2 linked regions of the Caenorhabditis elegans genome follow. The protein of the gene in region 2 purifies or fractionates together with the protein of the main gene of each other region. This does not show direct contact. Each region holds a gene or a part of one and is shown on either strand. Other genes may lie near its edges. The genes, in order: rde-12 and wago-1.

Evidence for each region.
Region 1: the proteins of wago-1 (region 2) and rde-12 purify together in Caenorhabditis elegans (affinity purification with mass spectrometry, with the first as the bait; one study listed by BioGRID). This does not show direct contact.

What each region holds. Positions count from the first base shown.
Region 1 is NC_003283.11:13,656,539-13,673,439, reverse strand, and holds rde-12 (DEAD-box ATP-dependent RNA helicase rde-12), read right to left. Parts: upstream 8,052-16,901; 5' UTR 8,040-8,051; coding exon 7,805-8,039; intron 7,754-7,804; coding exon 7,409-7,753; intron 7,362-7,408; coding exon 6,021-7,361; intron 5,934-6,020; coding exon 5,825-5,933; intron 5,513-5,824; coding exon 5,160-5,512; intron 5,091-5,159; coding exon 4,623-5,090; intron 4,570-4,622; coding exon 4,541-4,569; 3' UTR 4,150-4,540; downstream 1-4,149. Other genes in the region: F58G11.4 (MFS domain-containing protein), read right to left, coding at 1-104, 722-838; mip-2 (HTH OST-type domain-containing protein), read left to right, coding at 1,498-1,622, 1,670-1,789, 1,843-2,056, 2,105-2,467, 2,515-2,830, 2,876-3,444, 3,488-3,619, 3,667-3,828; letm-1 (Mitochondrial proton/calcium exchanger protein), read right to left, coding at 9,485-9,568, 9,672-9,818, 9,868-10,912, 10,964-11,490, 11,539-11,959, 12,019-12,149. UniProt on the Caenorhabditis elegans protein: Probable ATP-dependent RNA helicase involved in RNAi-mediated gene silencing. Specifically required in the endogenous siRNA pathway for biogenesis of secondary endogenous small interfering RNA (siRNA) intermediates called 22G-RNAs.
Region 2 is NC_003279.8:7,230,020-7,246,442, reverse strand, and holds wago-1 (Argonaute protein wago-1), read right to left. Parts: upstream 11,060-16,423; 5' UTR 11,036-11,059; coding exon 10,871-11,035; intron 10,825-10,870; coding exon 10,244-10,824; intron 10,200-10,243; coding exon 9,467-10,199; intron 9,419-9,466; coding exon 9,243-9,418; intron 9,200-9,242; coding exon 9,024-9,199; intron 8,982-9,023; coding exon 8,635-8,981; intron 8,589-8,634; coding exon 8,349-8,588; intron 8,309-8,348; coding exon 8,001-8,308; intron 7,956-8,000; coding exon 7,844-7,955; 3' UTR 7,651-7,843; downstream 1-7,650. Other genes in the region: R06C7.6 (Protein N-terminal glutamine amidohydrolase), read left to right, coding at 1-31, 80-302; cpg-3 (Chondroitin proteoglycan 3), read right to left, coding at 426-636, 687-934, 980-1,359, 1,411-1,450; dhp-1 (Dihydropyrimidinase 1), read left to right, coding at 2,690-2,781, 3,315-3,495, 4,081-4,258, 4,337-4,548, 4,916-5,193, 5,641-5,706, 5,758-6,004, 6,135-6,199 and 1 more; R06C7.2 (BEN domain-containing protein), read left to right, coding at 11,942-12,264, 12,315-12,339, 12,383-12,570, 12,618-12,783; hasp-1 (non-specific serine/threonine protein kinase), read left to right, coding at 13,323-13,510, 13,559-13,703, 13,803-13,971, 14,016-14,180, 14,229-14,345, 14,395-14,538, 14,645-14,782, 14,938-16,377. UniProt on the Caenorhabditis elegans protein: Argonaute protein which is involved in the endogenous small interfering RNA (endo-siRNA) pathway. Interacts with secondary 22G-RNAs, which are RNA-dependent RNA polymerase-derived endo-siRNAs, typically 22 nucleotides in length with a 5'guanosine residue.

The sequences.
Region 1 (16,901 bases), on a different chromosome or scaffold from region 2:
CGTTTTTTAGTCCACCATGCTGCTGCGAGTGCTCCAAGGCAATGACCAATTCCATGAAGAGTCACTGCCAAACCAAATGACGTAGGACCAACTGATGGGTCGAGCTGAAATTGTGAGGATTTTTATAGAACTTTGAAATGTACTTATAGAAATAAAGAACTTTAATCTCAGATAAATGGTTTGGAGTCTAATTATGTGAAAAGCGAAGCTAATCGGAATGCGGAGCAGAACTAATCGAACCTAAATCGAACAGGGTTTTTATCTAATTTGACTCGTCCCGCTTCTAATTAGATTCGCTTTTCGCGTGTTTCAAATTTGACTCGATTTTCATCTATTTAGACTGGGGAAAATTAAGATTAGACAGGGTTCTCTCTAATTAGACTCCAAACCATTCTGCTGAGATAGTGCTTCAAAGTCACTATTTTTAAGTTAAAAATAACTCATTTGGCAGTTGGCAGTTCTAAAACTAGTTCTTTTTGAAGATTTCACTGCGATTTTATTCATATTTTTCTAAAACCTTGCAAATTCATGACATCGTCTAGCCCGTTTCGAATCAAGAATCAACATTTTTATTACAAAATGCTTCAAAAAAGGATCCGCCCATTTCTTGCAAGCTTGGTCATATTTATTTTTCTGGCACATACTGAATTACTTTATTTTAATTAAAACATTTTAAAAATTGATTTTCCGATAAAATTTTGAAAAATATATATTCACATACTTTTGTCATATAAGTATACATAATAGTGGTAAAAATGGCATATTGAAAGTAGACAACTAATGAAAAGTATCCACAAAGATATACCACATCCCAAGAAGTCTCAATGATTATTCGCATTTTTTGACTGAAAATTTATATAGATTCTATTAAAAAACGTTCATGTACAGTTAAAATTAAGAACTTTTATATAATAGATGCTAATAAAATGTCAACTGACAGCTGAAATAGAGAATGCCGCAAAATAGATGTGTCGTTGGAAGACCACAAATGTTTGAAGAAACAAGAGGAAGAGATTTACATAATTTTGATAGAAAGATCAATTTTCCAACACAAAACTCAATAATATTATCAGAGTGGACGCATACCGGTTGGAGTGATTTGTTTTGTACTTTTCCGGTGAACTGCAGTCACAATACGAAATATGATGAGCCTTCTATAAAATAATATCTTAAAAAGTAGTTTTATATTTACTGAAGCTAATTTATAAGTCGAATCCAAAAAAATTTCAACAACCAACATGTATTCGCATTTTGAAATTTTTCCAGGCCTGCGAATTGGACTGAACTACGGTAGAGACCTGAATGTGCATTTGTGCGTGGAACGGTGTGCGCAGTACGTGGATTGTTTTCGTGTTCACTTCTAGAAACTTCTGCCACGATTTTGACATTTTTAAGTTTTAAATCATTTTTTTGTATTCGTTATTTCAGATTTCCGTTTTCTGAATATTTAAAGTCATTCAACTGATTGTTTTACTGTTTCCAGCATTTGCCTGAAAAATGTCTGAAGAAGAAGGCAAAGAAAAAATGAACAAAATGCGTAAGCGCATCGAACGGGACGCTTATAGTGTTCTTCTTTCTTTCAAAGATGGAGCCTCACCGAAGCAGGTCGAGCAAAGAATGGAGTTAGTTGATCCGAGTGGTGTGAATTTAAATTTACTGTAATTTTCAGCGACACATTAGGATATGACTACTGCTCGAAATATCACTTGGCTGGTGTTTACGACATGGCTCAAATTCTGATCGAGCATCCGGATGTACGGCAAACTTACGAGGGAAAATTCAAGATCATGTACGTTCCGATTTATCGTTCGCGTTTCTAACCTGTCAAAACTAATATTTTAGCGCAAACGAGGACAATCAGGATCTTGTGGATTTGATCTCGAAGCAGAGCGACGGACCTAGGAATAAAGGTTCTTCAAAAAGAGGAAGACGTTCGTCATCTTCTGCTGGATATCATCAACGATCTATGTTTGGAGGAGAGCTGTCGAGATCGCCACGATATTCCAGTTGTCGCCCTCGTTCGTATGCTTCCTTTGGAAAAGCAGCGTCTAAAAAGGTTCTAAAAGATGTATAGAAAGATTTAAATGTCAAGAGAATTTTTCAGTTATTCCAAAACTTCGGGCAACCTTCTCGTCCTTTCTCGGTGTTGTCGTCATCTAAAGCATCCACTTCCTCGGCAATCCAATCCTTCGGAACAGGAAATCATGATTCTACGTTTGGAAAGTCGAGTGGCTCAAATGCGAATCCAACAAATCCGCCTGTAGCTCCATCCATTCAGCGCCCTCTCATGCGCCCATCAACTGCGTCTTCGATTCCAATCTTCATTCTTCGTAGTGGAAGTCGATCACCTGTCAAGAAGCATGTGCAAATTAAAACATCTTCAAGCTCGTCTCATATGCCAACCATCACGGAGTTCATGAATAATACGAAGCGTATGATGGTGAAGGAGCTTCCAGCTTCTGTTCACGTAAGTTAAAAGTTTAGTTGTACTCTCGTATAAGTATTTAATTTCAGCTCTCCGAGATGACAGAACTCTATGAGAGGGAATTCGGTGCACCCGTAGATCCACTATTGTTGTTCAGCAAAAGCTGGATGCTTATGGCCAAGACAACATTCAAAGAGTTTCTACAAGTTATTGATGGAGAAGTTTCGTTGAGGGAAAAGTGGCTAGCTGATCAAGGAACAACAACCAAATCGGTGCTTGAGTTGCCTTCTCGCAAAGTTGAAGCTACAACTGTTGCTCAGCTACCAATATCACAAGGGTTTAGATACCAGGATCCTAACTCAAAGCCGAAAGCTGACCTGGCTTCAATCTCTAAGTCTCTGGACGGTGAGTTATTAAAATTCCTTATATTTTAACAAAGAATATTTTCAGGTCTTACTTTGAATGCCAGAAAGAGCAAAAAGGAAGCAAGCAAAAGTGACATGATGCCATTTATTCCAAAAAATCACCGAGAAATTGTCACAAAGAGATTCGGCAACGCTCCAAGCTCCGTGAAAGCTGATTCTATCGTTGAAAGAGTGCAGAGCACTTCTTGTATCTTCGGTCGACAATCAGTTCCATCAGTCCTTTCAATTTCCTCTTCTTCAACCGTTGTCCCGGAAAAGCTGAACGAAGAAGGCCTGAAATACGATTCAAAAGAGCTTCTGCAACTCAAAGCTTTGAAGAAGACTGATGTCATGTTAGTCAATGTTTATGCATCGCTGAAAGCTTTTCCACAAATGATTGATGCACGTGCGAAAGCTCTGATGCAACAAAATCTTGAAGTCCAAAGAAATATGGCAAGCCGTGCCAGCTTAAATGTTGTTGCTCAAGTGCAGCGCCCAAGTTCATCAATCAACCTTCAACGTGTCAGGGTAAATCCTAATCAATGTGTCAAGAAAGTGGTTCCAGTTAGAACCCTTGGACAGGCTCTCGCTGAAGTTAGGAGACAACGAGAACAGGTATAAATTGTTGTCCTCTCTCATTTTACTTATATTGTTATAGGTAGAGCAAGAAGCTTTCAATGAGCAGCCAGAACCTTCACCTTCACCTCGTCTCGGCATGGGCTCTTCTTCGCATGCAGCCAGCAATGTTTCAGATGATGGCTGGGGTGCTCAAGTCGTTCAGAAAGTCGAGGTAAAGTATATAAGAAGAAAACTCTTGTTAATATATTAAATTTTCAGAAGAGTCCACCCAAACCGTTTACCGTCTTGCTGCCACCAATGTCAAAAGGAGCGGGTGTGAAAATACGGCCTCGTTCTCGTGTTGTATTATGCCATTCGTCAGCGTCCTCGTTTCCACCGTCGCTGAACTCCGATTTCTCGCCGAACATCTCCCAGGCGTAGTTGAAGCAGTGCTCCTGACACGTATTTTATAATATTTATGTTTTTTTTGAATATTTTTCGTTAGTATTTATATCTGAATTTTGAACCATTTTCGCTATTTTCGTTTTTATCACACTAAATACTAGTGCCGACAATCTTTTTAAAAATTTTTAAATGTATCGTTTTCTCTATTCACAATTAAATGGAGAATAAGTCCCTTGGTTTATTATCATGTAGAATTGACTTTCCGCTTTAACGTCCAAAATAAATTATTTTTCTCAAGAATACTTCCTTCTAAATACTTATAACGCTGTTCTTGTACTCCCTAGTTGAAACAATTACATTTCCAACATTGAGATTTATTTTAAACAAAATTCCCCGTTAAAAAATTCAGAACTGTATTTAATAGGTACTGAATACAAAATTCATAAAGAAATAGATAGTCAAAATAAGGTACGGGGATACGGTGGAATACGGAATACGAGTAAGTAAATATCGGGATCGGAAACAATACTTAACAGAAGATTTACAAAACAAATAAAAGAATGCGGTGTCGTGAATTTGAAAATTTTCGAGACATCACATAAATCACCATGTTCAATTGACTGATTGATCATGCCAGAATTGATAATTACGAAAATACGATAGAATGGTGTGAAGCGATGTCTCGAAATGTTTCTATTAAACAAAAGATCTCTCGAGATCAAATAATAATGACGACGTCGCGTAGATTTTACCACTCGTCGTCGTCGTTGCCATCGGCTGAAAAGAAAGTTTCATATAAAATAGTAACGTATAGAAAATAATATTCTCACCTCCGGTTTCAGTTGGTTCCTCGTCGGCATTATTAGCTGTTCCAAATGTTGAACTTCCCAGAGTGGCACTCTCTTCAGCTTTTTTCGCATCTTGGGCAGCTTTCGTAGAAAAGCCAAAACCGCCGGCGGCTGGTGCATCTTCAGATGCATCATTGTTGTCTGATGGGAATCCAGTTGGTGCTTTTGGAGCACCAAAACCTCCCCCGGATGATGTAGGCTCGGCATTGTTTCTAGATCCGCCAAATCCGCTGGGTTTTACGCCTCCGAAGCCGCCGCCTCCACCAGATCCTCCAAAACTGCCACCACCGCCGGATCCACCAAAATTGCCGGAACCTCCGAAGTCTCCGCCTCTTCCTCCGCCACCGAAGACACCACCACCTCTTCCTCTACCAGTGCCACCGAAGCCTCCACCTCTTCCTCCGTATCCACCTCGCTGACCAAAACCGCTAGTTCCACTCTTTCCACGGCCTGAAATCATGTTTTTAAAAATTGAGACATAAATAATAATTTCACAGATATTTTCTAAATACCACTTACTGGATTTTGCCATCGCGTCCAAGAAATCTGGAACTTTGAGATCCGGGAGATTCTGCGATATAATAAGCTCGACGAGTTTCGGTGCCAATAAACTATCTCGATCAGACTGAGGATCTACAAACGAAACGCAGAGACCATTTTCCTTTCTTCCAGTTCTACCAGTTCTTCCAGCGCGATGAATGAACGTGTCAGCTCCCTGATCAGGGTCTCCGTCAGGAAGGTCAAAGTTGATAACTCGATCCAAATCTGACACATCAATTCCTCGCGATAAAAGATCAGTGGTGACGAGCAAGTTTACTCGGTTGCTTTTGAAGTCATTGATCAACTTTTCACGCATGTCTTGGGATCGATCACTGGAAATTGTTAATAGATATTTGCATTATTAGAATCAAAATGGTTTTTTCAAAAAGAAAGTGAACAATAAAATCTCAAAATTTGCCAACTTGTCAGCATGATTTACACCTTCTTATTGCATATTTTGATAATTTAATTATCACAGTGTCTCGTTTATTAAGATGCTTCTTCAGTCAATGACTGCACATATTTGATCCAACTAAATATATGTAAGTTGGCCATAGGAATTTTTCCAAAACTTGGGAGATTTTCACAACGTCTCATGACGAAATTCGGCGTTATAAATATAAAAAAAATGACAGAAGACATACCCGTGCAAAGTTTGAGCTAGCATTCCTCCGGATGTCAGTTTTGCGGCACACGCATCGCATTGATCCTTCTTTTGAACAAAAATTATCGTCTTGAGAGTTTTACCGTTAACTGAAAATTGAAACATCGGACTATTGAAATTCCGATTTTGACCCGATGCCACGAATACTGTAACTTTCGAGTGGCCATCTTACTTACCGTTCTGTTTAAGAATCTCCCTGAGCTTCGCGTTCTTCTCTGCAAGACCCTTACATTCGAAGAACTCCAGGTTAACGCGTTTGCTCAAGCGTCCATTAGCTAGAACGATTTTAATCATCTCATCTTGACCAGGCAATCGTTTCATCAGTTCATTTGCGACAGTCATGACACTCGCGTTAAAAGTTGCTGATGTCATGATAGTTTGTCGAGTAGCAGCAGACTCCATGAAGCCAGCGTCTTTGATAATTGCTCCAAGATGTCCCAATGGATCCTTTTTCATATCTTGTAAAAGACGATCTGCCTCATCGAAGACGAGGAACCTCAGATGCAACAGACTGATGTGACTTTTTACGGTGAAATCCATAATGCGGCCACAGGTTCCAATAAGAATATCACATCCATTCCTGATTTCATTGAGCGATCGAGCACGATCCGACTGTCCGTATGATAAGAGAACAATGATATCCGTATTTTGGCAATATGTACGGAGAGCTTCGTGAATTTGGGCTGCCAATTCACGGGTTGGAGCAAGAATGAGGGCAAGTGGTCCATCGTCTTGACGAGCCTTGTTGCGAGTCTCCTCATCCATTCTCAAAATTTTATCAATAATCGGTAATCCGAACGCCGCTGTCTTTCCAGCGCTGGTTTCCGCCTGTCCCAACACGTCGTGGCCATCGAGAACTTGTGGAATCATTGCTCCTTGGATTGTTCGAACATTATTATATTTTATACGCTTCAGCGTCTCGAGTATTGTTGGGTGAAGACCAGAATTCGTCCATGACGTGAGACGGACATCTTTTTCGGCATTGCGAATCTCAACAGCACGATCTTGGCCTACATCACAATCTGCTAGACGGTCCGCAGTTTCTCGAACCAACTCATCGATATCTCGTGTTACTGGAACCCAGTCACGTGGGGCTCTTACCGGTGCATTGACACCTTCAGAATTACTACCATCGCTACGGTGGAATCCGCCGATATTATTGGAATTTCCTCGATAAGAGTTGTTCGGGTTTCCAAAACTGCCACCGCCATTGTTTCCGAATCCACGATTGTCATTGCCCCCAAATCCACCATCGTTTTTGAAACCACTGGAACTGTTATTGCCTCCAGAACGATGATCGCGGGAATCTTGTTGAGAGCGGTAGTCGTTTCTGTATTCTCCGCTGTTATTTCCACTGTAGCCACCAGAATTCTGACCACGGTAGGAATCGTGGCCTCCCTGGTGGTTGTCGTAGCGTCGCTGATTGTCTTCTTTTGGAGCACTGTAGCGATCTTGTCCACCCTGATGGCTTCGCGGAGAACTTTGGCTGTTGTAGTTGTGGTGGTCGCGTGGTGAGTCTGAAAATTGGAGATAAATTAGCATCAAGATTTTCAAAGAAACATACTTCTGTCAGAATCTCTATTCGATTGATATGGTCTAGCCTGGTCATTGTCGTTACGACGACGATCATCGTCTCTGCGATAGCCGGAGTGACCATCGCCTTGGTAAGATCCCTGACGATACTGGTCGTTTCTGCTATTGGAATTATGATTAGAACCATGATCGTTGTATTGGTTCATTGGTCCACGATCATCTTTTGATCCGTGATTGTCTCGCTGATAATGTTGGCCACCACGGTTGCTGTCGTAGTTATAATTGCTTTGAGAGTAGCGATTATCCGCACTTCGTCCGTTGTTGCCACGATCATCCCGTTCCCCATAGCGGCTTCCACCGTGGTTATCGCGAGAATCTGGAGTTTTAGAGAAATTATTAAAATAACACTTTCATTCGAACTCCCCACGAGAACGATCATCCTCACGTCTTCCGTAGCTGTTTCCGTGATTTCCTTGATGCCCACCTCCGTATGAATCCTGTCTCCCATCTGGACGACGATAAGATTGATAACTCGAGTTATGATCTTCACGGCGCCTTTGTCCTGCATCCGATCCACCATTTCCGTGCCGATGATCACGGTTTGAACGATCGTCGTGATATTCACGACCTCCTCCGCCGGCATTGTTGCCAAAGCTCGACATAGTTCTGAAAAAAAAATAGATGGAGATATTTAGCTTGCAGTTTTAAAGAGAAATCAAATATTGCTAGAAATCCAATTTTTTGAAGAAAAATTGGTGTAAAACTAATGGTATCATCTAGAAACATGAGGAGAGTGTGCGAGTGGACGTGGTGCAAAAAACGAGGGAAAAGAGGCGAACAGAGAAACACGACTGGTCATCTGCGTCTATTATTTGCCCTCACGTCTACACTTCTTGTGTTCTCGTCATAGCGAATGAAACTTTTACAACAGTGATAGGAGGGGGCATTGAGGCAGTAAAAAGTGAATGTTGCACAGTATCCATCATACAGGCCACATCAGATTGTTTATAATTAGGTGCAACATTGTTGTACAAAACATATTGATTGATGGACAAATTGACAATTTTTTAAATGTTTTTTTTTAATTGAGGGAGAAAAACCACGTAAGCAAATATTTCCTAAAATTGGGAATGCGAGAAATACAGTGAAGATTGTTTTTTTGGCTTAGTAATATAAAAATTAAATCAACGAAATTGTGAATATTTAAAGAATTATTTTTTGAATTTCATTCCCACTGCCCAAAATGCAACCCGCAAGAAAATTGAAAACTTTACTGTGCTTTCACGTCGGAAATGATTAAATTGATAAAAATGTGTCAAAGCGGAAAGCATTATTTAAGAATGAGCAAAGGGAGAGGAAATGAGAAACCAGGGAACACGCGGAGAAGAGTTTTCGATATTAGAGGAAAAATCGGAAAATATACGCTTGAAATGAGAGTGGATTGCTGCAAGAAATTGAAACGTGGAATTGTTCGCGCGCTATAATCTCAAATTTTGAAATGCGCCAATAAGCGTCACTGGCGCATAAATCGATCATCAGCCGGAAATTGTTCTTCCTCTGAATAGCTCGTGTTTTGGAATTTCGACATCGTTAACTAATAATAATAGTTCAAAAAATCACACTTCAGCCATTGAGGATTAGGATTTAGATTTTTAAATTTTGAATGAATGAAACTGATAGAAAATTTTGGTTTTTCGGAAACAACCAAAAATTTACCAACATATTTCGGGCCTTTAAAACATTTGGTTTCAAATAAAAACGTAGTATTAATTGGATATCACAGAAAAAGCGATAACCAGTTTTGAATAAAACATTAAAGAAATTAAAATAAAGATTTTCACTTCATAAAAAGTAAATTTGTGAGAATTAAATGTGAAGAAAAAAGAGAAAAAGAATCCATTATTCGAGAGCAGAAACGAGAATAGTATTCAATCGGGAGGTGACTATTTTTGGCGGGTACGAGAGTGGAAGGAGGAGACACCGGTATTCAGAGTGTAGAGCGCGCGGGGGAAAATGAAAAATATTTAGGTTACAGAAAATACAAAGATTGAAAACAATTAAGAAATGCAAAATATATATTAACACAAAAATTTGAAGCTATGACTTTCTAGGCTGATTTCGAGTCGGATGTGCTCTTCGTCGTCGAAGAAGACGACGTCTTGGAGGAATTTTGTTGCAGTGTGGATGTGACCTGGAAAAAATCATTTTAATCAAGGAATTAATATTCTTTTGGTGATTTGAACACAATAATTTTAAAATTCTATAGAGATTCTAAAACGATCAGGTATATGTACCTTTGTATCGACATCGGGAATGCCCACTGGTCCATTCTCTACCTGTTGCTTTTGCTCCACTCCCTCTTGTTCACTTCTCGCTGGAACTTGCTTTGATGCCGTGTACACTCCCTGTGGTTGATTGAATGCATCCGCAGATGATGGACCCTGAAATTTATTTGTTGAGGTTGAAGCATTGCTTTAATTCTGGGAATACCGTTGGCAAAATCGGCATCTGATAATTTCCGGATTGAACTTTTCTGATCTCCTCAGTTAATCCAGCAACTTCATCTTCTTTCTTTAGTGTTCCAATCATGGACGCCATTTGAGCTGCCGATACGTGAACATCTGTATGTTTTTCAAGAAGTTCGATAACTTCCAAGACTAGCTGCTTATCGACAATTCCATCGGAATCCTCATCGATTGTCTTCAAGAGAGCCTCAATTCTCTCACGTTGTTCTCCATCATCAGCTTGTTCTCCTTTACTTTCTTTCAACTTTGCCAAAGAATCGATAACATCCTGAATACGAACTTCGCGTTCTTTTTTCAAATCAACGCTGTTCTCCACGGTTGGATCAATGAGCATTTCACGAATATTCCTCTTCTCATCTTCGAGCTTATCCACCATCGAATCGACATCTTCGATCATTGAATTGAGCTTGTGACGCAAACGTTTCGCAATCTTTGTTTCAGCGAATGCACCATCTAGAGAATTGATTTCCATGAGATCTTCCTTGTGCTCAAGAACCTTTTCGCGTAGTCCAAGAATATCGTGTTTAGCTTCTTTGATGGGTCCACCGACAATGATCTCCTCAATATGGGAAAGATCTTTCTTGTCCACAGTGATATCTTCTTTCTTTTCTTCTTTAGCTTCTGAAGGCTTCGCAGCAGGCTCCTTCGCTTCTGTTGTAGAAGATGTTGATGCTACAGCGTCATAAATATCTTTTTTGAGCTCATGGACAATTGCTTGAGCAGCCACATCAACCAACTTCTCCTTCTCTTGAACTTTGGCCTTTTCGGCTTCCTCTTTCGATTTCAAAGCTTCTTCTGCAGCCTTCTTCTTCTTTTCTTCATCCTTCTTTTCATTAGCGATCGCAGATTCGATAGATCTGATCAACTCGATACGAGCTTTGTGATCAATTTGTCCTCCTTCCATTTCTGTTAGCTTCTGTTTTGTGGTCTCGGCAAGTCCATCTGGCAGATTTTGAACGATAGCTTTGAGACGATCAGGGAATGAAACTTCTTCGGGAAGATATAGCGTTCTGAAAATAAATTCGTAACTTTCAATTCGATAACTTCGGAAAAAAGATTACCTGGACAACAAAAGAAGGGCCGGCGGAACTTTATCATTCAATGAAAGCTCCAGCCACTGCACTAATTGTTCTTTCAATCGTTCTTCACTGACTCCGATAGCTCTCATTCCACGCGCACGACACGCCGACTGCAAGTCGATGGAGCTCAGCGCATCAACACCTCCTTCTGCGGCAATCTGCTTGTCATCGGCCTTGAGTTCTCGAATCTTCATATTTAACTGGAATCTAAGAATTTCAGGCGATCCTAGCGAGTTGATGCTCATTAAACGACAAAGTGATCGGAGCTGTCCCATACTAAGATTGTCGAGTGTTATTTCGTCTTCGAACAGTTTCGAGAATTTGAGAAGTTCTTCATTGGACACATATCCACCTTCATTGCGAACTTTCTTGATAAAAAGGGCAAATTCCAGAGATCGAGTGGATTCCTTGTTTCTCGTTTTTCTTTCCAGTCCAATCTCTTCAATCGTGTCTTGCAAAAATTTCGCCATTTCAACACGAAGTTTCACTTGCTTTCGCCATTTTTCTTCCTGAAAAATCGGATGTTAAAAATTGAAATTTAGAGAAAAATAACGAACCTCCTTGCTACTCTCCTGGAATGTACTTGGCAACATTCCTGGGAATAATTTGATAAAAATAGGAAGCGCCAACTCCATAAATGGAACAATGATGAAAAATGAGAATGGAACGAGACGAAATAGATCCGAAACTGTTCGAACCAGTTGTTGACGCTCACGACGTGACAAAGTTGCTCCTCGGAGCACTGTCCACAGATATTTCGCACTGACACGCGTTTCCAGAGCGAGCAACCTAAATCCATGATAGTAATGCTTCAGCTCGTGTATAATTCTGTCTTTCAGCGGTGGCTTCACTGTGGCGACGTCTTTATCTGATTTCATGAGACTCAAGACTTTTTGTGCTTCTTCGTCTTGTTTCTGAACGTCTTCTCGTAGCATTTTCAATGTATACTCCACTTTGCTTCTGTCTGTTGATGCATACCTGAAATAAATTAAATGTTACGATTTACTTTTTTTCGAGTTGGGAAATTTAAAAATTACCTCAGACTTGTTGTTTGTAGTGAGGTAGATGCAATATATTGATGGAATACCCGATTTCTTTGACCAGTAGCGAAAAGTCTCTGCGCATATCGTCCTATGTGGTAAGCATTTGATGCGTAACGTAGACTCATTATTATTTCCACGTATTCTTACTTGATTATCTGAAAAATAAAAGTTTAAATATTATTAAAAGTAAAATGGGCAAAGTGAGAGATATGAAATGACGCAAAATTGTCTTTGAAAGAGAAAAGATGAAATTTGAAGAGTGAGAGATTTCGCAATCGGGAGTTAAAACTTTTAAGGCTTAAAATTTTCGATAGGTTGAAAATATGACGATCCCATAAGCCAGTTAGCAAATTTTAATAAAAAATTGGAAACTGTTTCCGTGAAAGGTGTTTTTTTATTTTAAAATTGAAAAAGGGTGCACGTTCACTGATAGAAATCAATAATTTTATGAGTACATCATAGATAAATCAATAATGTATTTTTAAACAGGTTCTGATGATCGGAAGCCACGAGTACGAAAGTAACAAACAAAAAACAAAATTTGGCAACGGGTACTCTGCGAACAAAACATTTTTTCGCAATGGAGCGCATTTCGGTCGCCCTGTGGTGAGTGTTCTATGAAGGTGGTCAGAGATCAAACTACTGATGTTTAACAGAGGGAAATCACTTATTAAAATAATTTAAGAGTCATCTGAAGCTCTCAAACACTCAATTTCTCGAGAAAATCAATATATGCTGTGTTAAAAAAAAACAATTATTGTATTTCTCACAATCTGTGTTTTTGAATAGTAATAACAGAAATGGAATAAAAAAAAGCACAACGTTTTTTTTTCAACTAAATTGGCTTATGAATAACAGTTATATAACCTCATCCCTGAACGTCTTCGTACTTGAAAAAAACATTATAAATAAGTTTAAGAATTATTTTACAAATATGGAACATAGATAGATATAGATATTTGGAATAATTACGAAGAAAACTCGAATTTAGAGAGAAAAAACGAAAGCTGTGCCATCAAAAATATAACAAACAATTTAAAGGCGCATTCAAATACCGTCTCATCGCTTTCCCTGCGGGACCCAATTATGTAAATTCTACTACGCGCCTTTAAATTATACCGTAATCACTTTCGAAATTCTCCAAACATTTTTGTTTTTTTCGTTCTTGTCTTTTTCTTTTTTAGTATATTTTCGAAATTTTTCCTTATAAATTGAATTTCCCAAACGTTTTTTCCAATTTTTAAGCTCCTATTGTTCTAGTATGTGCTCTTGTTCGCAATCCCATCATCATTTTCTCTAATCACGCGTTGAAAACTGAAAACTTTCGATTTCGGGTCCGAAAATCAAACAAATAGTTTGGAAGAGTAGATTATTGAGTAACCGAACACGTGTTTTGTTAGTATCAGTTCGAATTAAATGAAATAGGCGATAATTAGAAGCTAAAAGCCATAATCGATGCCAAAAATGCTGATGTTTGATAAATAAAGACAACGAAAGAGACAATGCGGAGCAATCCGAGCGGAACGTTCCGAACGGAAAAGTGACGTCATTGATCAGTCGTTTCCCAGTGATCAAAGCCGTTTGAATGAGCCATTTGAGCATCTCTCCCGTCTTCAATAACTCTGCTCTTTCCTGCTGACTGTTATAGAGAAAATAGAAAAACAAAGCAAACGTAAATATAGCTGTGCAGAAATTTTAGCGAACGTTGAGTTAGGTTTTTTGTTTTGTTTTTGATTTTTCATACCTTGACATTCGGCTTTTTTGGCAAGTGTTTTCATCCTTTTGTGTTACTATCTAGCTTCAGAAGTTTCCTAATATTTTTGAAAATTCCCTTAAAACACGATTAACGTAACCTTGTCTTGTTTTTGTTTCCAGCCTCCCAGTGATATCAGCTTACACCAAACCTCATCTTCTCGTAGACACTCACAAAAAAGTGGCCAGATGTCTGGTCGATCTCCTGATTTTTTGACACCAGTTGATTCATCATCACTCGTTCTTTCAATAGCCAATTTGTATAAAAGAAAGTCCGTCCTAAAACGTGATCATGGCAAACTTTCGCGATAGCTTATCACACCACCTACCACGTTGATATCTTTGGTTTTCGTTATCAAGTTCATACCATCTCGTTTACTTTTAAGTAAAAGTAAAATTATCTAGATTAAAAACCAAGAAATATAGTTATTTTTCTATTACGAATTTGATAAATTTCAAAATCACGACAAACATTAATAGAAAATGGTTCTGGTTGTTTCTAAAATGCTGAAATATTTACAGCTCATCTAAGTATATTTGGTCAGATTAATTCACTTTGACTTCGTTCAGATTAAAAAATATATATCGTAATAACTATTTTCCTTGTGAAGAGTGTCGGGTGTCATTTTTCCGTTCGTTGTCTTTTATCCACGATTTTTGCGAATTTTCAAAATTAAATCTAATTTTTCAACTCGGCTAAATCAATTTTTCGACCGCCGTTCGTTTCCCATAAAACCAATTTTCAAACACTGTTGCACTTTTCAATTTCCCGCTCATCACATGATCAATGATGGCGCCATGACGGAAAGGGAGAAGAAATTGAAAAAAAAACGGAAAACGGATGGAAATGTATGCGAAAGCGTGTGTGGCGACGAGCGACCGCGTGGTCTGAAACACCACGTGGTATGGGAGAATGTGTTCCGTATTTTAGACCGATAAAGTCAAGAGAGAGTGCGACATTGTGTAGTTGGCAATTTGCCAAAAAGTACATAACGTGCTTGTCTACGGCGTATTGGTTCTTTGTATTTGAAAACCACGTGAGATGGATAGCCCCCGACTGAAAGTCATTAATATTTATGGGTGCATTGCATGCTGAAAGTTGCGTAAAAATGGTTTCAAAAGATCTGAAAAGAGTTTCAGTCCGTTTATCCGATCATGTTTGAAAGTCGTGTGTTCCAAAATTCGTCACTCTAATGACCATTGTCATATCTAGATCACGTTTCATTTCATGTTTTGACTGTTCGTCACCTTCTTCCACTTCAAATGAACACAATGTAACATTTTTCTTTCATAAGTTGCATAGTAATTAAAATGATGTTAGATGTTTGGAATGATTTTCTTATGTTCCTGAAGGTTCTGAATTTGAGCTATGGTAACACTTCAATCTCTCCATTTTTATCATCAGATGGAAACAACATGTTTCAAGGCGAAAAGGTGAAGGGCGGAGCATTGACACGTTCAATGTGTCATCAGTGACCTGGTTATGTTTCCATTTCAAAGGAAGACGCTGTCCGTGATAAATGGCGTTGTCGGTTCAACAGCTGTTGCAGTTCAGCCAGCCTGCTCCGCCGATTTCGCGCACTTTCTCTTTTTTCCATTCATCACATCCTATTTGAATTCGTGATGCGGCCCCCAAAATCTGCAGGCGTCGGTCGTCAAGTCTCAATAGGTTGTTTTTTTTTCCTTTTTCGCCAATGTTTATTTGCATTACTCCCTCGAAAAGACTACGGAAACGATGGGTCGCGCCATATATTGATTTTAGACCGTGTTGCCATTTATTTTTGCAGGATCTCGTCCTTTAAAGGTTCAAAGTTTTCTGTTTATTGTTATTTTCCTTTGATGAAGATGACGAGAAACCTGCGTTGTGATTGAAAATTGAAAATAAAAGTTTGTTGTGTGGTCAACGACCCTCCGGTTAAGATTATGATCAGATCATCACGCGTCTCTATTTGTTTAGTTTCCATGAGACAAGAGCATTCGGATATTTTTTATTCGGGCTTCTTGTCGGCTCACGAAAAATCATCCATGACTATGGAAAAATGTTTCTATAGTTGTTTCTTATCTCATTCACTCTCGACAGGGGTCTTCCCCCACCACGTGCTGCCGATTCCCACGGAGGGAGGTTGACGTGATAAAAAAGAGAAAAGTGAAATGTGTTTCGAGGCGGCGTCTATAGTCACGTGGTCTAGTGAGAAACGATTTGATCTTTCTGTCGTTGAAAAAATTAGTTGTTTTAGTCGCCTCGCTGGTGGTTTCATTTACGCAAAAGTGAGTGAGCTTTGAACGTGAAGTTCATTTGAAGTACGGTAGGGTCATTCCAAAAAAAACCAAAAGTTCCAAATTTATTTTAAAAAATCCATCTCTTCTAAAAATTTGGCAGCTTGCCAAAATTGACTGAAAATTTGGAAAATTCTCTATATAATATTATAGGATTTTATTGAGATATACAATCTAGATTGACTATTCTGTTTGAGCTCTGTTATGCATATTTAGACAAAATCTCCAATTGGCTCTACTCAATCCTTTAACGATCATATGATTTGTGCATGGAAATTATGTTTTCAATAGCTGTTTGCTATTCTTTTTCGTATATTCAATACTCTTCGTCCTCGTGACAACTCGAATTCCGATGACTTTTTTTGCTAAGGGATTATCGATGCCACCAGGGATTTTTTCTGCTGATTAAAATGTTTGTATGTTCTCGTTCAAATCGAACAATCAAACTGGTTCACTTATTTCAAGTTTCGATCAAAAGTGAGACTTTTTTTTCGTTTGATTGTTGGTAAATAGTCTTTATTGTAACTCCTTTTCTCCATCAGCCCGTTCTTTGGATGGTGTTGGACGTCTTCTTTTGCAGATGGGGGTAGCTTCCAATCATGATCATGGCCTCCACCACTAGTGTAGTGTGTGTGTGTAACGAACATTCAATTAATGGAGAGGAGAAACAGATGATGTGATGGCGCGCCATGGCGTGATCTACCAAACCCACCTCGTGTTCTTTATTCGGATCTCGTTTACTATAGAACCGTGAATGGTTTTGTTTATAACACTTTCTAACTAAACATCCATTCATCATTCTGTCATCGCTGTTCACGCCTTTCGTCTTATATAGTGTCCCTGTCACT
Region 2 (16,423 bases):
AAATGGCTCAGCGTGACACTAAATTCAGAAGGTTGCTACACTTTAACACTTTTTCTTCAGTTTGAATAATTATTTTCAGAAAATTTCGTGTAATTCCAGGAGAAAACTACATATCCTTGCTCTCATCTGATCGATCTCATATGCTTTCGAAGAATGGAGTATACCTAAAGCCACCTCCTGAATGGCCATTAATAAATTCTCATAAACCATCGAATTTGATGGAACTGATCCGAATGTCAGAACAAATCGAGAACACGACGGTTATGGACGAACCAGAACTGTTCCAATTATTTTCCAAGTGATTTTTTGATTTTTTTCATTTCAAATGTTGAAGTTAATTAGAATCATGAAATTTTTATTCATTCCGTAAACTTGTGTGCAATATATTTGGGCAAAATAAAAAAAAGCCGATAAGATGGGGTCAATTAGCAAACACAGAATCCATAGTTGCATGGCAATCCGTGGCACTTCTCGACATTGTCTTCGGCTCCATTGCACGTCTCCACGTTGCAGAACGAAGTGAGGGCTTCGGCCAGAGTGAGATTGTTCTTGGTGTAGGCAGCAAAACAATCGCAAGTAGCGGTAATGCTGTTGCAAGCACCGTTGAATCCTCCGCAAGCACTGTCCTCTTGGCATCTGAAATAATAATATTTTAAAATCTGCTGCGAAATAAATTGAAAACTTACGGCCATCCAAAGACACAGGAGTTACAGTTGCAAGTTCCGGCAAGAGCTCCAATGCATTTTCCACTTCCACATCCAGAATCTCCATAGCAGACAGCAGATGAGACGCAAGTAGCTGGTGCAGATGTTCCGGTTTCGGTTTCAGTTTCATTGAGTGAAAGACGAGCACTGTCGAGAACCATCTGAGAGTTGGCAAGCACGATGTTCGAGAGGATTCCGAGGTTTTGAGCGTTAGCAGAGAGAGCAGTCATCTGAAAGATTTAAAATATTGAATTAAAAGGGGTCGAGAAACTAACCTCAGTGATGACGAAGTTAGCTTGGTGAATGAGCTTCTGTGATTCAGCTTGAACTTGTTGAGCATACGTGTTGAGTGTCTCCAACTGTTGAAGAGTGAGTTCGTCGACAGGAACGACTGGTGATGTATCACCGGATCCTTCTTCACCAGATCCTTCGCCGGAAGTTTCCTCATCTCCTGAACTCTCGCCGGAAGTTTCACCAGATGATTCGCCAGATGCTTCTCCCGAGGCTTCACCAGATGCTTCTCCCGAGGCTTCACCAGATGCTTCACCAGAACTCTCGCCAGAAATTTCTCCAGATGAATCTCCGCTGAACTCATCTTCACTGGCGGAAACATCACGTTTGGCACGGATCGGATCGGCTGGGTGAGCGAGAGATGCTGCAATTTGTTACAATTAATTTAATTTCAAAATACAAGTGAAAAACAAACCTCCAATGAGCAGCAAAGCAATGATGAACACAAAACGCATCTTTAGTGAAGACTGATTTGTTGGAATGCGATTGTGAAGTAAAAATCGAAATCATTGAAAACAATAACAACCAAAATTCGCTCATTAAGCGGGGTAGATCAAACTGAAAATTAGTAAGAAATTTGTTAGTCATACAGGTCTAGTACGGTATTTTCTACATAGAAATAAAAAATACGTTCCGAAATAATTTTTAAACATAGTATTCGAATTCTAGAATTTCATACTGTGAAGATGAAACGGTGAAAATTAATTTAAATTTAAATATTTATTCAGTTCATGTTGAATCTATTTTTTCTCGTTTTTTCTTTATTTTTGGTCAACTAATTGTGTTAAAAAATACCATGAAGTTATGAAGAATAAAGAAAAAACGGGAAAATAAGCCATAACAATTGCGAAACAACGATCCATGGAAACTACGGTACTTCTTAAAGGCGCAGACTGTCTAGCAGGCTTCATTTGAAATTTGAAGAAACTCGTGGCGAGACCAAAAAGGGGATATTTTCATATATAATTCTACCTTGAATAAAATTTTCTTTTGAAAACGATTATCTTGGATTTGGGAGTGGAAAGGTTTAATTACAACTTCAAAGTTAATACTTCAAATTTCACGAATTTTGAAGTATTGAGTTTGAAGTGCAACGGATGCTTTCAATAAACAATCGAGACAGTAAAAGATTCTTTGTAGGAAAGAAAAATTGAAATACAGAGCTATTTAGTTTTCTTTGTCAGGAAAGGGACCTTTGTCAGAGCATCCTCATTTCCATTCTCGTTCAGACATTGAAGCTTAAGCTTTAAATAGAAAAGAGCGGCACGGATGGCATATGTGTAGAACATGCTCATTGTGAAGACTCCAGCACGTTGATCACACATCTTTCTCAACAAGTCATCACAATCGGCGAATATTTCAGTTGTTGTTTGTCAATTAGTCTAATTTACCAAATAATTTCTAAAACTTTGAACAAAAACTGGACAGACTAACCGTACCATCTTCAATCATGCCATATGGTTTCTTCTCACTTCCGATTAAAGAAACGTGATTTTAACATCGTCTATATCAATCTGGGTACGTTATCATCACACGCCCCGGGTACGTCTTCTTCTTTTATCTTTCTTATCACAACTATTATTATCAATCAGTCTCCTCCTTCCACCCAAAATCAAGATTTCTTTTTTCATTTTCAAAGTTTTTTGTGTTTCGTCAAGAAAATTCATTTTTTGTCTAATTTAAGAGATTCGGAAATGTCCCCACCACTTGTTATCAAGAATGGAACTGTCGTCAATGAAGATGGAATGTTTAAAGCTGATGTTCTTGTTAGAAATGGAATTATTGTGTAAGTTCAAACAAGAAGAATGCGTGTAAAAACTGTAGTTAAGTTAAGTAGTTAAATTAATTAGGTGATAGTGATAAAATAAATATACTGTAATTCAGTTTATCTAGGTATCTCTTTCTTGAAGATGGATTTGCGCCTCTGAGGAAAATGATTATTCCTATAACGCTCAAATAGGAAAACTTTTCAACATTTTTTAGAAACTATTCTTGAATTTTTAATCTAAAAAAGTATCAATTTCTTTCTAATATCTAAGTTTTCATCTATCATAATTTTGGTATTCAACTGAAAAGTGTTCTACGATTTTTAATTTCAATTATGATTTAATTATTTGTTTCAGAACACTGTAGACGTTTGCTCTTTGCTACAAATTTCTTGTGAAAACCCCAATTTCTTTTTGAATATTTGGCAATATACTAAACATTTGAGACATAAGTTAGTTAGTAGAGGTCTTAATTTAAAAAAAAACCCCCCAATCGAAATCCGCCAATAAGTTGATTCTACCAAATAATTTTTGAAAAAAAAAACGATTTCAGAGAAGTATCTCCAAATATAACTGCTCTACCAGATACAGAAGTAATTGATGCAACAGATCGTCTTGTGATTCCTGGAGGTATTGATCCTCATACACATATGCAAATGCCATATATGGGAGAAGTGACAAAAGATGATTTTTTGAAAGGAACAGAAGCAGCAGTTGCTGGAGGAACTACAATGGTGAGATGACTTACTGATTAAATTATAAGCTCATCGCATAGATGTGACTGCCTACCTGCCTACAAAATTGAGGGTCTATTCAGGAAATGCGGCAAACCGTTGTGCCCATTAAACAAAAATGTTTATTCTAGGATCCAAGATTTTATTAGTATCCGTTTAAATTGAACAACCGTTTTTTTTTGAAGACTTCGAAAAAGACGGATGCCCACTTTCATCTAGTTTTCAGATTTTCTTCAAACCCGCGAACAAGAATAAATAATAAAATGCTTTCAAAATTTATTTCTAATTATTGTATTGTATAGACATCAAAAGATATAGAACACTTCGAAGTACAGAAACTTGAAGGTTTTTTTTTGACAATTTTATTTATTTTTAAAGTCAGCAAAAATCCTTCTTTTTATAATTTCGCGTTTCTGTTTTTGAAATTAAAGTAATCGAATTATAACATAGATCATTATTATATTAAATATCCTTGTTAACCAAGTGATAAATCACACTCACATTTTGCCAAGGTCATATTTCTCCCATCAACTGGCGGGTTTAGAAAATCTGAAGATCAAATGAATAGAAAAGGTTAAATTTCAGATAATTGATTTCTGTTGTCCGGATCATAGAAATGGGGAGTCATTGATTGCTGGTTACAATAGATGGAGAAGTTGGGCAGATCCAAAAGTGTGTTGTGATTATGGTTTATCAGTTGCTATCACAATGTGGAGACCAGAAACTGCTGAACAAATGGCAATTATTACAAGTCCAGAATTTGGTAAGTTTGAATATAATTAGATTCTGAAAATATAAATTTTCAAAAAAACAAAAATCTTCAAATTTAATTTATTTAAAGGAGTTAATTCGTTCAAATTCTACATGGCTTATGAGAACACACTAATGGTCAGAGATGATGAATTATTCAGAGGAATGCAAGAATGTGCAAAACTTAGAGCATTGGCAAGAGTTCATTGTGAAAATGGTTCAGTGATTAAAGAAAAGGAAATTGATTTATTGGCAAAAGGAGTTACTGGGCCTGAAGGACATACACAGAGTAGACCAGAAGAGGTAACTCATATTTAATTAAAGCAAGTGGTATAACTGAATACACCTATAACATTCCAAAAATATCTGAATATCATAATTAAACACTTCAAAATTCTTTTTAGAATTTGAAATTGTTCAGACAAATTTTGGTAAATTGACAAAGTTGCTTTTCAAGAGATTTGAAGCAATTTAATATGTTTCAACCGTACTATTATTTTTATAAGAAATTTTAGATTACCAATTTGTCGAATTAAAAAACATTTTTGAGTGCATACACCTCCGGTTCACATTTGAATTTAATCGTTATACAGAGCATATAAGAAATACAATTAAAAAATAATGGCATTTGTTAGATGAGATCAGTCAAAGCGATTACGGAGATTTTCAGATTGAAGCAGAAGCCACCAATAGAGCTTGCGTTTTGGCTGCTCAAGCTAATTGTCCAGTTTATATCGTTCATGTAATGACAAAAGGAGCCGCATCAGCAATTTCCCATCACCGAGCTCAAGGTTCCATTGTTTTTGGAGAGCCAATAGCTGCTGGATTAGCTCTTGATGGATCACATTATTATAATGAAGATTGGCTCCATGCTGCAAGATATGTCATGTCTCCACCATTAAGCAGAGATCCAACTACACCTGAATTACTTATGAAATTACTTGCGGCGTACGTTTATATATCTTGTAACAAATTATCTGGAATTTTTTAAGTGTATTTTTGAGATACTTTTGAGGCTTGTAGAATTGCTCCAAAATCTCTTATAGTATTTTTGACATTTTCAGGGTGTTCAGAAGTAGACCAAAGTTCTGAAAGATTTTTGGAACTTTTTCATCTTTTGAAAACGTCTGAAAAATATTTTCATCCAACTTGATCAAAAGATTTTCATATTTTTTAAAAATAAATTTAAAGTTACCAAACTTTCCAGATTGTTTATCCTACACCTAACCCCTTACAAGTGCAATTTTTCCCAATTTTTTTTGCAATATTCAAAAAAGAAATCAAGCACATAAGATAAGAAATCACCAAAATCCCGGCTTTGTACAAATCAAACAGTTTTTTTTTCTTTTAACTCAATTCAATTCAATTTAAAAACAGTAATCATAATAATTTCAGCGGGGAACTTCACCTGACAGGAACAGACAATTGCACATATGATTGCAGGCAAAAATCTCTTGGAAAGTGAGTTTTTATATTATTGTGTCTTTATAAAAAGAAACATTTAATTTCCAGAGGAAACTTCACAAAAATTCCAAATGGAATCAATGGTGTCGAGGATCGAATGTCAGTTGTATGGGAAAAAGGGGTACATTCTGGAATAATTGATCCAATGAGATATGTCTCAATAACCAGTTCAACAGCTGCAAAAATTTTTAATATTTATCCAAGAAAGGGAAGAATTGCAGTTGGTTCCGATGCAGATATTGTAATTTTCAATCCAAATGCCACTAGAACTATTTCAAAGGACACACATCATCATGTTGGTTTTAAATTTGAATTATATTGGAATTTGATAATTATCTTTTTTTCAACTAATTTTTAAGAAGAAATCTATGACAATTGTTTTAGTTATGATCTATCTTTCCCCTTTTTCTATCAAACTTTTTCAGAACCTCGATTTCAACATTTTTGAAGGAATCAACTGTCACGGAGTTGCCGAAGTTACTATTTCTCGGTGAGATTTGTCTAGACAAAATTAGTTAATAGCCTAGATGCCGAAGTTTTGGTTCTTATCAAGCATATGTTAAAATATACCAATTTCCGTTGAACCTTTATTTCGGAGTTTTTTTCAGAGATATAGTCAGTTTTTATATTATATCCGTCGACACTTTTGAATCTTTGCGTTTTTCAGAACAAACAACAATATATTTGATAATGCAAAGTATTTTTGAAGTGTGACATCGGCAGTTGTCTAATATGTAGTACCCGTACACAAAAACCTTTAAACATTTCAAAATTTCACCGACATATTTTTTCAACAATATTAGGACTAGAAAAAAGTGGTTCTGTAAGTCTAAAAATGCAACGAAACTTTAGATTTAATTACAATTTTTGAATAAAAATATGCGAAAATTCGAAGGGGGGTTACTGTACAAATATACTAAATATATAAGTACCGCAACTTATAGGATTTTAGGTTCAGATTTAAACATTGTATCTTAATATGAAGTATAAAGCAATTGTAATACGGGAACAAAAAATTCTGAGAATGCGTATTGCACAACATATTTGACGCGCAAAATATCACTTAGCGAAAACTCCTGTAATTCTTTAAATTACAACTGTAGCGCTTGTGTCGATTTACGGGCTCGATTTTTGAAATGAATTTCTTTTCGAATAGTGACAACGATATTTTGTAGCTTTTAAGTTTTCTTCTAATATTTGATCGATTATTTATTAAATGATGTCCGTAAGCGCTACAGTAGTCATTTAAAGAATTACTGTAGTTTTCGCTACGAGATATTTTGCGCGCCAAGTATGTTGTGCAATACGCATTCTCAAAATTTTGTGTTCCCATAATAGCATTTCGTACATGGTTGGAAGAAGGTTTCCGCACGCTCATTTTATCGTCTTAATTTTTGAAGGCGGCCAATGCAAAAAAAAAAAAATAATCTAAAAATGTTTGATTCTTGTATTCAGACATATTCTCTCAATGGCACAACATTAACCACAATCTATTACAGAGGGCGAATTGTATGGGCTCACGGAAAACTTCAAACAGTTCCCGGATCTGGGAAATTTATTCCCCTTCTTGCGAATTCACCATTCGTTTTTTCAACTCACGAGAAAAGGGAACAGAAAATTCAACCAAGGATAGTTGAAAGGCTTGAATGAAATTGCTTTTTTATTTATTACTTTTCTTGTTCTGATTAACTTTCGAATTACCATTTTGAGTTAAAAACGTGAATAAATTGTTTGTTCAATATTGAGATTACAACCAAAAAGTAATATTTAGTCGACTAGTCAATTGACTTGGAAGCAGCTCTAGAAATGTTTAATGTTCCAATTTCAAAAAAAAATCGAACAAAATTCCCCCTCATTATCAGACAATCTTCGTTTTCACTTGAAGATCCTCAAAAAACATCGCCTCGAACTTTTACGCACAAAGCAAATCTTTGAAAAATATTATCAGCCTAAAACTTTTATCATACCGAGTTTAATTACTACGGGTCACACAGAACCACATTACAAAAATATAAAACATTTGACTAAAAAATTACAATAAAACTAGCGGAAAAACCGTAAAATTATTATCCTAGGTGACCGTAAAATTATTATCCTAGGTAAAACATCAAGTGTATGTGGCATAGCTCCAAATCTATGCATTGACGCGCTTCTGATTGAGATCGGTTTGTTTGTAGCCGATTTCCTTTGTAAGTTCCTTGAGGCGCTCGCCTTGCGACTCCTTTGCTTCAATTGGTCCTTTAGTCCTGCAAAATATAAATAAATTTTTGTTTTAAACAAAAAAAACCTACGTTAGTTCACCCCAGAGATCTCTTCCACGCTTTGCATACTCATTTGCCACATAAAGTGGAGTGGGAATCGACGTGCTCAGGGAAACAATTTGGTGATGATGACACAAAGTGAAGGTCAGCTCCTCCAGGCGGTCCATTGGAGCTTTGCAGTCGTCAGCAAGAACAGTGTACAATGGTGTCTTTGCTGTTCCTTGAAGAGTCGTGTGACCGTTCAGGAAGAACTGCTTACATGCCGGATTCGTGACAGCGTTATCCAAGACAATGCCCGGAGGAATATTCATTTCAGTGGCTTTGCCGCCCGAACGAAGCTGAAAAGTTAGCGTAAAGAGAATAATAAAACAAATTTACCTGATCACGGAAGAATCGGTAACTGTGCTCCTTAGTGACGACGATGAAAATCAATTTGATTTCTTTCGAGTAACCATGGATAATAGCTCGGGCTAATGGGATTTCATAAGCCAGAATAGAAGCGTGAGAACCCTCCGATGCACCACTTCTATAAATGATGATTCTTTTTGGCAACGCTTTGCGGTTCTTTTCGAACAAATCGATTGAATTTTGCAACACGTCTTCAATTGATGCCATTGTCTGTAAAAATTACCATGTTGTTAACTCGAACACATTAATTATTTACGTCCTGTCCGGAGGGAGCCAAAACGAAATCGCCGACAAACTCGTGATTTGCAACAGCATTTGAAGCGAAGCCAATGATTTGTGGATTAAGATGTCCCTTGTTATCCATCATGTACTTCGTTCCAGCCGGTGGTGCGGAAACGCCAACTCCGATGATCAATTGTTCGTCGGTCATGCTCTTCTTTGCATCCGAAACAGTGTAGTTAAGACCACCTAACTTCACGTTAGTTTTGTTGATGATGTTCTCCAACGTCAATCTCTTCCCATCTTTGACAACGGCATTGGCTTTGGAAATTTTCATATCCTGGACGATCATCATTGTTCTCTGTTCCAAGGCTTTGTACTGCTCTGAAATTTTCAATGAACCATGAAAACTTAAGGAAAACTTACTGTGGAGGTGAACGATTGCGTCATCAGTGATCATCAAGACATACTTGCACTTACTCGCAGCCACTTTTTCCAGCTGAGTCATAATTTTTTCCGTACTGTAAAGTCCTGTTTCACATGGTGGCTTGATCACCATGCCTTTCTTCTTGCAAGAATCAATGAACATTCCGACGAGTTGGCTTAAGAATTGAATTGATTCATGTAAATTTCTATTTGTCTTACTTGACATCTCCAATGGAGAATCTGCAACCTGGATTTCCAACAGCGTAAGCAGCCCACAAATCAGGAACAGTCGCAGGCTTCACAAACCATCCTGGAGGCGCACGCCATTTTCCCATATCCGACATTACCGATCTCTGGTATACAAGTTCTTTTCCATCAAGCTCACGTGCTTGGACCTGGAAAAAGAAAACAAATATATTTTTTTACAATTTACACAAACTAACCATCAGAGGCTCCGAGTAAACCTTGATTCCAAGAGCGACGAGCAACTCGTTTTCGAGTGTAATGTTGACAGCATTTTTACCAGTGATGATCATTCGCTGACGGACATCCGGAAGAACCGCGCACTCCTTCGTTGTCTTTTGAGATTGATTTCCCGTTTGCTGAGGAATGGTGACACGTTGATTTCTGGACACAGTCATCAGTTCAGCCGGGAAGTAATTGTTGTTGCCTCGATCCTTACAAACCACCAAATTGGCGTTCGGATACTGTAGACTGATCTTGTATTTGTCCGCATAGTACTCGGCGATTGAACAAGTTTTTCCATCGGGCAACTCAAATCTGGTCTTTGTGGCACTTTCGTGAAAGATACCTTCGATTCTTAGATGGCGCTTTCTGTTGGTATAAGTCGAATAGCAATCAAGTCCTTTAATCACTGCCGCAGCCTTCTCACGGGTCATATTATTGAGTCCATTTGAAGGATCTTGTCCCGTGATGTCGAACAGTTTTTGGATCACAGTTTGCTCTTTGTGGAAAGCAGCTTTCATACCATCAATCACGAGAGATGGATTGTTCTGTCCGCGACCATAAGGACCCTCGATGAATTGAATCGTCTTCTTGAGGCCAGGATAAAGTTGTTTTCCGTCTCCTACGTCGACACAGTCTCGTTGATCGAATCCTTCTTCGGTGGCGTTGAGGAAATATACTTTTCCGTGCTCGAAGCATCCGAAACGATTTCTAAAATGAAGCGATGCTTTTAATAATTTTCGAAATTCACTTACGTTTCTCTCACGCAATGTTGATTCAGAGCAAGTTCCAAGAATTGAGTGTATTCTCGATTGTTTACTTCAATGTTTTGATCCGCAGTACGCTTGCCCAGATTTTCAGAAGAGAGCGTGATAGAGTTGTCCCTTGGGGCATAAATCTCGAGAGAAATGCAAGGCAGGGTCTTAAGGTCGTCATTGCCGGTATCAGCTCCGTTGATTTGGAAGACTTTGGACTTCGTACCGTTGGCATCCAGTTCTGAGAACAAGTTGACCGTCGTGTAGAGAGTTGATTGACCGTCATATACAATCTGATTCCCATCCTTCATTTTGAAGAATTCCGGGTTCTTCTCAACCGCAAGGAAAAAGATGTTGCAACACTTATCGCGACGATCCTGAACGACGAAGTCCTCCTTTCCTTTTTTAGTGAAAGTCACTTCCTTTGTTGAAGTCAAATCGGCCTTTGCGTGAACCATAAAACGATGAACTGTGGTTTCCTTTGTGACTTCAATTCCGAAGACATTGGTTTGGATGTCCACTGGTCTGCCCATTTTTCCAGGTTCGGTTGGCTTCATGTACATTTTCGCACCATCCTCAACCTGCAAATATGGCATTAGAAAGATCTTTGAATGCTGATAAACATACGTTTAACTGTTGTAAACGCTTGATGCATGCGTCGTTGCCAGTGCTTTGGTGAAGCTTTTGAGCATCGGCTGGAACTGGAGGCATTGGAGTCATAGCTCCTGGTGGAGCAGTGACTGGTGGCATTGGAGGCATCGGTGGATGCGGTTGTGGTGGATGAGGAGACATCTTATTACTATTGCAATATTAGTTCTGAAAAAAGCTTATATAAATAATATTCTGCACCGAATAAGCGAGATTGGAGAACATCTATAGAAAATTATGAATTTGTGAGATATTTAACAATAGTTTAAACAAATAAATCAGTTTTCTTCAAGAGATCAATCTAGAACGAAAATGGTACGTTATGAAGAAAGGGCAAACTACGGAATTTTCGTATTGCCGACGAAAAAGAATAATGATTCGAGATTTTTCGGTGTTTCAGAGGCGGCATAAAAACAAATAACGACTAGATTTGTACAAAATCATCATTATTAATGACGCAAGAATACAGAATCCGATAATTGGCGGCTAGATCAAATGTAGATCACTTTTACATTTTTAAGATTCAACGAGCAAGTTTCTTAAGATTTTGTAACTAGATTATTATTAAAATATAAAAATAATCTTGAAAATTAACAAAAATTATTGAAAACTGTCACAAACCGGAAAAGAATACAAAAAACAATTTCTTCGTCCTAAAAAATTTAAATGACAACGCATACAGTACATAAGAATGGAGATCGCTGCGAGACCCACTCAGTGTTAAAACGAACGCTCCTTGAATTTATTTTTGCTGTACAGCCTTATTTTTCTCCTTTTTACAAGTATTGTGTGCTTTCCATGTTTTAAAAAGTGACTTAGTTGTTAATTTTATTTTGAATGATACTCATCTAATTCAGGCTTGTAGCTTAGATCGCAATGAAGTTAATCGTTTGCAACCTATGTGGATTCCCGCCAGCAAGAAGGCAATTTTACATCACCACCTGCTCTCACATCTTGTCGAACAACGCAGACTGCTGGATTTTGTTATTTGTGTAAGGTCCCTACGAAAACTCTTAAAATAGATGGAAATCTGCCGAAAATGTGCGGAAAATGTTCAGCGCTGTACATCCCGATTCGCGACGTGACTGTAAAAAGTACAGATATTCTCAAACGTCTCACCAGAATTATTGGTTTTTAAAGTATTCAGAATTCAATTTATTAGGAAAACGAAAAATAAAAGGTAATTTTTTGCACTTGTTTCATGCAGAAGAAAAAGTTTTATTTCAGTCGGTGATGCTAAAAGATCAAACGGCGAAAACAGAGAAAAGGACACAGGAAATCACATGCCAACTGTCGAAGCTAGCCAATTTTGAGGAAAATAATCGAAAGAAGCTTCAAGATACTGAACGCGAGAACAAGAAGCTTCGAAATTTGTAAGTAGTTTCTGCACGAGATTAAATTTAACATTTTTTTTCTATTTTAGAATCAATTCCCTTGAACTGAAACTTGTCAGTTCTCCTGTTATCGACAATAACGATTTTTTTATTCAAGGAAAATCTACCTCTTCAAATCCTTTTTTTTTTAATCTCGGAAAATGACGAATTGCTCGAACGTGTATTTCACTTCCATTGTGCCACCTTCACCAAATTGTCAGACTTCCAACTTCTTTTTTTTCCAACACCAATGTATGTTGCAAATGAGTACGCGAAGAGTGGTCGTAATTTGTGGAATGAAGCCATGTGAGTTTAAGAAAATGACAACAGTTGATATTAAAATATTTTTGCAGCATTGCGGATGCAATTCCCGAAGTTTCTGGACCAGAGGCAGCTCGTATGAAGCAGATTACCGATAGCATCAAATACAAGGAATCCGGCTTCCTGATCGACCGTCGTGTCAATGCTTCAGCACTAATAATTCAATCAAATTGTAGTATTTTCAATTCCAACTTCTAGTTTGTGAGAAGCATACCATGATTTTTTATTTGTATCCCACCCTGTCATTCTTGTTTTTGCGTTACATACAATGCGTATCTAATAGTAAGTGGTGTAACTGCTAATTTCATTTTCCCCCGTTGCCCTATTATTGTTTTGACCTACGTGGAAATTGATTTTTTGTTGTTGTTGTTGAGTGCAGATTATAGAATGTAGCCTGTTGTTATGTTAAGTTGTACGTGCAATGTTGTTGTAGTCTCCTTAAACCCATAAAAATCATAAAACTTATTTCAGTTTTAAGTTTGAAAAATCGGGATCACCAAAATAATATTTCTTTCGCTTTTTTGGTTTTGAACAAAGTTTTAGATTGGGAAAATTTTCAAAAAACCAATACATGGAAATTTTATTTTTTTTGTTTTTTTGTTATGGAATACCAGTGTTCTCCGTAGAGCGCACTTTCATTTATATTTTCGGCGCGTTATTTATTGTTTCAAACCAACTCTTTGCATTTTGCGCTACATTATATAACGTTTTAATCAATTTCCACTTTTTTTTGCAGAATGCCTCCTAAACCCCGAATAAAAGTGCCAATATCGCCCGGGAAAAAAGCTCGAAATAATTTTGCCCGACGAAATCGTCAATTGTCAAGCGTAATTATCACAGAATGCCCGATCGACTTTCCTGAATATGAGTTTTCAAAAAATCCGGCGCTGTTTAAGTCGTTTAATGATAATCCAGAGTTCAAACCGTATGTTAAAAATTGTTTTCAAAGTAACAAAATTTAAAATTTCTTCAGAAGCAAAAAGAAGAATAAGCCAAAACCAGTGTTCCCACCATCTCCAAATGTCAGTGATGTCGAAATATCAAGTGATGAGGAAGATGCTGGACAATTTAAAGTGCCTGATGCAGATGCTGATGAAGAAGAAAAAATTAAGAAAATCGTTAGTATTTTGTTTACTCCTTTTAACGTTGTAAACGTGGAGTGAATGCAAAAATAACATTTGAATGTTCGAGTTTTGAAAATAATCTAATTTTTTCAGAAGGAAGCATTTGATTCATTGGATGATGTTTCTCTCGAAGTCTTCAATAATGATGGAATTAGAGTAAAAATAGAAAATGGAAAACATATTATTCACGATAAGCAGCCTGAAGAAGCATGGCGGCCAGGTATTCGAGAATATCACGATGGAAATTTCCCAATGATGAATAGTTAGTCCAGAAAACATCAAAAGGTTTATTAATTATAATTTCAGAGCCAGCAAAGAAAATAGATTTCGCGAAGAAAATGGAACAAAGACAAAAAAAACCAGTTAAGCAGGTTCCAGAGATGAATTCCAAAGCAAACCAAGTTCAGTGTCCAACAAATTATGCATCATTTTGCGGTTCAATTCTAGCAGATCATATGAGACAAAACAAAAGTTAGTCACATTTTTCAACTTGATATTTAGCAATTTTCATTATTTCAGAAGCATCTTTGGCAGCTCCATCATTGTTCAGGGTATTTGGCACACCTCAAAGATCGAAGATGATCGTGCCGGCGAAACATGTCCAGTGTCAGGATGAGCGTCTCGCTATTTATAGCTGTACTTTTGAAAACTGGAAATTATTTTCAAATTCATTAACCTTTTTTAGACACCCCGATTCGTGTGAACAAAACGGCGAAGCAACTAGACGACACGATCGGAAGCATTGTCTTCTCGCCGAAAACTCAGAATGCGAGTACTCCGATTGAAAAGCAGACAGCTGGAAGAAGACCCAAAAGCTTCCCAGTATTTGGTATTTTTTTAAACATTTATATAACTTTGCTATAGATTATGTCTTTCATTTTAAAAAGTCATAGTCAATAGTTACACTGAAAATTAATTTTAAAAAATTGTTTCAGATGTTTCCCTCAATGATTCTTGCGAGAATATCACGAAAAAAGAAGAACAAATCGCACAAAAATCTGCAAATTCTGATCAAAAAGAGACTACCATCAACAATATCCCGATCGAAGAGGAATACAGTGGAAGAGTTCATGGTAATTTCAATATTACTCATTTTCTAATATTTTCTATTTTAAAACTCTATTTAGAATTTTATAAGCCCTAAAAAAGTTTTCCACAGTGCAAAAAAATGTATTCACAATTCTCACAAACCAATTAAATATTTATTCCTAATCCGTTGTCTTTGTAGAATCATCATTGGCTGGAAGTATACAACAACCACAGCAAGATCTTGAAGAAACTGCAATCTCCGAAAATCGTCTCTCACATTCTACACTGAAAACCACGCCAATCGAGTCCCGGAACGAAAGTCACCAAAATTCAAAAATCATGACCCAGCAGGTCTCAGACTCAGAAGATGTTGAAGATGTCACTTTTAACCGAAAAGCTGAAACGTCTGTTACGGAACTATTGCACGAGGAGGATGAGCATGAACGATGCTCAGATCTAAATCTCGAAGAAAGCAAATATTCGAAAAAGCGACAAAGAACAAAGAGCCCGGAGACAATGTGTCAAGGCATGAGCACTGTGATGACGATGCAGGATGATCAAGACGATCTAGAAGCTTTATTCGAAATTGAAAAAGAGAATGAAATAAGAAAAAGAACAACTCTTCAACCCCAACAAAGGCAACGTGACAGAGAATCTCGTGTCTCACGACTTTCAGTAATGTCTGCAGCTTCATCTCGTCACGATTCCATAAATAGTGCCATGGAGGAGATGAGCTTACAACAATTTTTAGAAGACACGATGGGAGAAGAGTTTGGAAAAACTCAATATTCAGAATCTCGTGCAGAATCTAGAAATATTCCTACTGGTATGACGATTCATAATGAAGATCCGTCGATACTCCCATTCTACTTGGAAGATCTAACTTCGGAAATCGATCCATCACCGATGATGCAGCTCCTTCATGTTGTTGGTCAAAAAGAATCAAAAACGTGGGATAGTCTACCGAAGTCGGCTCTCGATGGTCGAAGAGTTAAGAAACTCGGCGAAGGAGCCTACGGTGAAGTCTTCTCAACAATATGGGATGGTAAACCGGTTGCTATCAAAATCGTCCCATTTGAAAAAGATGGATGCAATCGGCAATATTTCGGTGAATATCATTCTGAGGAAATGCAAACATCCGATGTCGTTCTGCCTGAAGTTATCGTAATGAAGGAACTATCGGCTTTGAGAGATGAAGATGCTTGGAATTCTACTCCAAATTTCATCGAAATGATTTCTGCCGAAGTTGTGATGGGGAAGTATCCTAAAGGATTGTTGAGTGCCTGGGATTCATACGACAAATTGAAAGAATCCGAGAATACAAGGCCAGATGTGTATTCTTCAATAGATCAAAACTTTATTCTTTTCGTTTCGGCAAATGGTGGAATCGCACTGGAAGATTTTGTCCTTGAAAGTGAAAATGAACTCTTTTCGATCATTCACCAACTCGTTCTTTCAATGAATGCAGCAGAAGCAGCTCTCGAATTTGAACACAGAGACTTACATCTTGGTAATGTACTGATTGATCGGAATGGCGTGAAAGAGCTTTATTACACTGTTCATGGGCAGAAAGTACCATTAAGTACCCATGGAATTAAAGTCAATATTATTGATTTCACATTGAGCCGAATTTCCAAAGGTTTGTCTATATTCAGAGAAATCGCCAATTTTTGAAAAAAAATTCT